Linked DNA regions of Macaca mulatta. The protein of the gene in region 1 purifies or fractionates together with the protein of each later gene. This does not show direct contact. Links are inferred from orthologs where the notes say so. Each region holds a gene or a part of one and is shown on either strand. Other genes may lie near its edges.

Region 1 (2,666 bases):
CTTAGGAAATGACTGGTCCCAATGCAATCATACAAATGTTCATTCGGCGTAAAAATGAATTTCTTTTTAATGGTTTTAATCTTTTTTTTTTTAATTTTTTTTCAGTCCCCAAGGCTTGTACCACTCAGTACAAATGTTTTTGCTACTGGGTTATCATCAGGCACATGATGTTTACCAATTCCCAGGAAATGAATAAAATCAACAGAAACATCCTGTGACAATAGAGCACATTTTCATAGAAATGAAATTGATGAGCTTATTACAGTTTGAATCAGTTCAGCTATTAGATCTACACATAAAACATAAAACAATATTAACAAGTTACATTTGTATTAAGTTTTTTTTAAAAAATATTTATCATACTTTTTTGTGCAAGGATTCCACTGATTTCTTTGGTTTTAAACACGATAGATCTATTTTACCTAAATATATATAGTTCTATTTGTACCAAACATCAAAAATCAAAAAATTAAACAAAATTTCAAAGGGTAAAAATGGAATTATTGCTTCGATATAAAAAAGGCCTAGCCCATTTGAGAACTATTGCCATTATTACTTTCCTACTGGAAAACTATCCTGGAAATCAAGGAATGTACCCCATAGCTCCCTGCAGAAAGTATAATTTGGTTGCACATTATCATCATATTAATATGACCCTATCTTCACCAAAGCTATCCTGATCTTGTCCTTAAAAAACAAAACAAAGCAAAATAGCATAAATAAATAAGTTTACCTAAGGGGATACAATAAATAGACTAGTATACTAGATAGGAATAAAGAATATTGTAACATAAAGCCCTTCAGTGCTGCACAATTAAACAATAGCTTTGGATTTTCAAGGTCTCTAAACGCAGCCTCCGTTTCAAAACACAGTTTTATTGCTGGTATGCAGCTGACAGAACAAGAGAATACACTTCTTTTGTTCTCCTCATCTGAAAGTGAATGCACAGCAGATACAACTGTCAATTCTGCCTTTTGGGAATTTACCTGGGCATGTACCATTGTCAGTTTTTGACCTCTGACTAATTGTAGGGCAAAATCTTAGGATTAAAAATATACAAATATTCCTTCAATTCCTAGTGGTTTCTTGGTCTCCAGAATAGTTAAAAACAGACAGGAAATTAGACTCAAAAGTTTTGCTGCCTTCTTTTTTTTGCATCCATCGCATCCAGAATGGGCTGTCTTTTCGCAGTGTATCTCTGACGAAGTTCTTCTATCTCCCGTTCCATCATAGGGTCCAGTGCTTTTAATCGCATCTGTAGTTCTTCTAAACTTAGATTTTTCAACTAGATATGGAAACAAACAAAGATATCAATATAGTGAAATTATCCACAACACATTAATGTCTAATGAGTTTTAACATAAATATTTCAGCAAATTCTTTACATCATCTTCGAAGTATGGTTCAACAATTAAAACAGGAATTTCTTCCTTGAAGAACCCAGAGGTCATATCTTGCAAGAACCTCAAGTAATCTGCAATGAAACAATCGGATCATCTGCCTTTAGTAAAGGGCAAATGAGAAAAATATGCTGATAGAATTTGTAAAAAGGTACAAAGACAAATCCACCCCCGCCAACAAACAGATTTTCAGAATACGTTCCAGGTATATTCACTCTAACTTCTTACATCTTTGCCAGCTACCGAGTGCTACAATAATAATGAACACTTGCAGAGATCACCCAAGAACATGACAAGACTGAATAAAGGTTAAATTAACCATTCTATCCTCCATTTTACCAAATGCTTAATAAAGAAGATGACTGTGGTAGGGGGTGGGAAGTAAGGCTGAATAGGCCTGGTGGGGCCCCAAAAGTAGGAAGCCATGATCAATTCTGGAGTAGGACAGTTATGTAAGAGTAATCCAGATTTTGTTTCTCCTTCTCCTTCTTCTTCTTTTTTATTTTTTTGAGACAAGATCCCACTATGTTGCCCAGGCTAGCCTCAAGCTTCTGGGCTCAAGAGATCCTCCTCCTTCGACCTCCTCAGTAGCTGGGATGTGCCACTGCACCCAGCTAAGGCTTGGTTTTAAAATGATAAAACTTGCAACTTACTTTTTGTTTTAAAAAGATAACTGTCTTTGGTTATTTTATGAGTCAAGGAAGAAAAATACTCATTACTTATAGTCATCCAAAGTAGCATGTCCCAGCAGATCCTTTTACTCGCCATCCCTGGCCCTATCGTGACTTCTGCTTCCAAAAACCAAATTCACTCTTAGCTGAAAAAGACTCTGAGGATACTGAAAAGAATGAGTCACAGACTCTTTGAAGGAAATTCAAAAAAGGAGTTCCAAAAATATTTTGAGAAATGACAGTATATGGAGAAGAGTATGCAGGCTTCCATGATGATGACTTTGAAGGTGAATGCCACTCACTTCAGTACATAAGAAGTTCTGGTATGTATATTAATAATCAGCCCTGTTACTTTGTAGTCATATGTCATGAAAGAACCTAGCTTTTAATATTATGCTATAAAAGATACATTTATATATAATATGTATTATTATACACTTTCTTCATTGACTTTTAATCCAAGTAGTGATCATGCATCTGTTACATGCTCAGTGCTGTTCAAATTGCTGCGGGGATACAGAATAAGACAAACAGGGAAACTCCAAACTTTGAACTGTACACATCAGTAATGGCCATACTGAAAGGCCAATGTAT
Region 2 (3,749 bases), on another chromosome or scaffold:
TGTTACCCACAGGTGGCTTTAAAAGAGGATTAGCTGACTGGAAGAATTTTAGAAAACATGGAAACTTTTTTTTTGTACGTGGATGAATAGAATTCCCTGATCTCCTTATCCCCACCACTTAAACCATGCCTGTGGGTGACCGTGGAAGGCTGATTGTGGCGGGGACATTTACAAAGCACATTTAATTAATAAGCACTCGATTGTTCTGTAACTATAGAACTAGTTCACCCTTCAGTTGCACTGAGTGCGCCTAAGATAACGATCTTATCTGGAAGTGAGCCCTCGCTAGAAAGAAGGGGAAAAGGATAAGACCGAAGCTCAAATGAATGACCAGAAAGGATGTTTTCATTCGAATAAACTCAACCCAGTTGTTGACCTCCGCACCCATCTCTGCCAACTTGAAATCCTCCAGGCGGGGCGAGCTGCTGGGGTTCAGGACGGCTGCAGGAAGCCGTGGGACGTGGGGGGCCCTTCCACAGGGCCGGGCAACCCCCACCCACCCCCACCCACCCCCACAGGACCCTGGGAGGGGGACGAGCAGGGTGTGGACAGCAGAGAAAGTTCCCCGCTCTGCCCCCGCCCTCTCCGAAACTCGAGCCAGCAAGGCTGGGGGCGGGCGGACGGCTCGCAGAGGAATTTGCAGTTTCCGGGAGGTTGAGGAAGCGACCCGAGCACAGCTCCACCAGATGCAGCCCTAGTGCCCGGCTTTCCGGGTTCCGCGACGCTGCCGGGAGAAACCCGCGCGCCTGGAAGGGGCGGGCTGGGCCGGGCTCCCCCCACCTGCGGGCGGGCGAGGAGGGTCGGGCCCGCGCCGGGTGGGGCTCGGCCGGTCGCCCGTCCGGGGCGGAGCCCAGGGAGGCGGGGTCGAGGGCGCACCGGGGCCGAGCCGCGCCTGGAGCCGGGCGGGGAGGCGACGGGAGGGGCCGGGACGCCTGATTGAGCGGCGGCCGCAGCTGCAGCAGGACGGCCCGGGGCCGCGCGCCGGGAACCTCGCGGGGCTGGCGGGCGCCGCACCCCCTCCCTGGCCGCCTGCGCCCCCGGGAGGCCGCCCGGGCGCTACGGGACCGGCAGCATGAGCAGCGGCTACAGCAGCCTGGAGGAGGACGCCGAGGACTTCTTCTTCACCGCCAGGACCTCCTTCTTCAGGAGAGCGCCTCAGGGCAAGCCCCGCTCCGGCCAGCAAGTGAGTGCGAGCGGCGGGCGCTGCAGTCTGCGTCCCGGAGCTCCAGGGAACCCGCCAGCCCGCACCCCCTGACTCCACGTGTCTCTGCGGGGCGCTCGGGGGATGCTCGCCGGGAAGGAGGAACGGGCCAAGAAGTGGCTTCTGCCTTTTCGGGTCCCGGGAACGTGCCTGGAGCTTGTGCATGTGGGCGAGAGAAGGCGGAGGAAGGGCGGGGAGGCTGAGGGCCGGCTTCTGCCTTCCGCGCCAGATGGCCTCTGCAGCTCCATCTCGGGCCGCCGCCTGCGGGGAGCAGTCCCGGAGCCAGCAGGCGTCCCCGGGCCTCTCCCCCATGTTTCCCCTTAGCGTCCCCGCTGGGTCGACGGTCGGGTTCGCGCGCCTGTCCTTCCTGTTAGTCTGCTCACTCATCTGTGGCCCCCGGAGTGGCTTGGGGTCAACGTGTAATAGCTAGGGGTGGCCAGGTGACCTGGCCTCCCCTCTTCCTGGGCCGGGCGCCGCGGTGGGGTGGGGGTCCAGGGGTACCGCGGGCCTCGCTACCGTAGGCGCTAACTAAATCTCGGTTGCGGGACTCAGGGTTGTGCGTTTCCTGTAACGCTAGGTTTTTTGGTGCCCAGATGTTTTGCAAACAAGCTCCGATGCTAAATACTAGCCAGCGACAGCTAACCTTTTGGCCGGTTTCTTCCTTTTTTGGAGGCAGCACGCCGTGGGAAGCACGACTTGGGAAAAGATGGGAAGGGAACTTGTGCCAGTTTCGCCAGCCGTAGCCGTGTTTCTTAGGGAGGCCTTCCCGAAACGGGGCACGTCGGCTGGACTGAGGACCCCGGTGCTAGAACCCGCGGCCTCCTGGCACTGGGAGCCGCACCAGGGAGCCGGGCCAACCCGCTCACATCAGATTACAGAAGATCGTAATGGAACAAATTTGTTGCTTTTAGAAAATAGGCGTTTGCCAGACATTTCTATTAATACCAGACTGAGACCTAGAGACTAGAAGCAAGAAGAATCGTTCAGGGGCCGGATGATAACTTTTTCTGGTGGGTGTGGGAGGGTGCAATCTGTCAGGGTGGTCTTGCCAGACCTCTTAAGTTTAGCCACTTGCTGAAGTAAAATTCTTTCTAAAATTCGGAAGTTGTAGTCTTTTCAGGCTCTTAAGTCTCAAACCAGGAGGAGGAGAGGAGACGGTGAAGGGTAAGCTAAAGTCAAGTGCCCTTATTCAGTAACCGCAGTTAATCTCCAGTCAAGTCCCAGTGCCATAGTTGTCCGTCTTGTATTGTTTCTAAGACTTAAGGCCCCACTATTTACGAGTCACTTTGAGTGGGATCTCTTACTTTCCGCAGAGTGTGTTCTAAAAGCATGAGATTTTGCTGTGAAGTTTGGAAGTTGGAAATGCCCTCCCCTCCCCACGCCTACCCTCCCTGGGTTATAGAAAAATTGCATTTGCTTATGCTTTTTCCATTTTGCTTTTCTCTTTCTTGGCTCTCTCTTCCCCTTGTCCGTTTTGCATTTTCTCCTTTCGTTTATGTTGCTTTCATCACTTGACATGAAAAGGAACTCATGCTAGTTTGAAGTTTATTCCAGAGGTGTCTGCTAATCTGAAAACTAGCTGGTTCTTGGATTCTCCAGGGGTGAGATGCCACAAGGGCCAAAGTATTCAGATTGGAATTGTATGACAATCCTTTAGTGCTTTAAAGAGTAAAGACATCAGATTTCTTTTCCAGGTTTATATGCATTTAGCATTTTTTTTTTTTTTTTTTTTTTTTGAGATGGAGTCTCACTGCATTACCCAGGCTGGAGTGCAGTCGTGTGATCTCAGCTCACTGCAACCTCTGCTTCCCTGGTGCAAGCGATTTCCTTGCCTCAGCCTCCCAAGTAGCTGAGATTACAGGCATGCACCACCACATCTGGCTAATTTTTGTATTTTTAGTAGAGATGGGATTTCACCATGTTGGCCAGGCTGGTCTCCAACTCCTGGCCTCAGGTAATCTGCCAGCCTCGGCCTCCCAAAGTGCAGGGATTACAGGTGTGAGCCACCGCCCCTGGCGCATTTATTGTTTCTATGTTGTATGCATTAATTTATGTAATATTCATCTAGCATATATACTCAGGGTAGTAGTATTTAGCATTTAGAATTAGTCTAACGTTAATATGTATTTTGAAATAATGTGTTGGAAATCAGGACAGGAAAACATAGTTCCGTGCTTGAAGAGCTTCATATGTGTATCTGAAGTTTTATTGCCTGCATATTTTTCCCTTCTAATATAAGACATGTAAGGTGCTGAGTTGTAGGAGTTATTTGCCAGGCGAAGTGTTCTAAACTGAATTTTAGTGGGCATTGTGGTTTATTTAAAGAGGTGATACGAATGTTTTAAAATTCCTGGTAAGATTGGTGAATTAGGGAAGTAAAACATCATAAATTTAAAGCAAAGCGCTCTTAATGTAGAACGTTTCTTTTCTCTAAGGTTAGATAAGCTTTTTTCTTCATTTTCATGCTGATGATTATAAGAATAAGATAAGCACTTCTGACATATAGCATAGTAGTGAAATTTATCCTTTCTCTAGAGAGATGGAAAGA

The links.
Region 2: the proteins of STK3 (region 1) and RASSF3 purify together in Homo sapiens (affinity purification with mass spectrometry; 4 studies listed by BioGRID and IntAct, with this or other methods). This does not show direct contact. The link is inferred for Macaca mulatta from reciprocal best matches to the Homo sapiens genes STK3 and RASSF3.

What each region holds. Positions count from the first base shown.
Region 1 is NC_133413.1:108,839,401-108,842,066, forward strand, and holds the end of STK3 (serine/threonine-protein kinase 3), read right to left. Parts: intron 1,287-2,666; coding exon 1,128-1,286; 3' UTR 650-1,127; downstream 1-649. UniProt on the Homo sapiens protein: Stress-activated, pro-apoptotic kinase which, following caspase-cleavage, enters the nucleus and induces chromatin condensation followed by internucleosomal DNA fragmentation.
Region 2 is NC_133416.1:71,736,127-71,739,875, forward strand, and holds the start of RASSF3 (ras association domain-containing protein 3), read left to right. Parts: upstream 1-934; 5' UTR 935-1,072; coding exon 1,073-1,183; intron 1,184-3,749.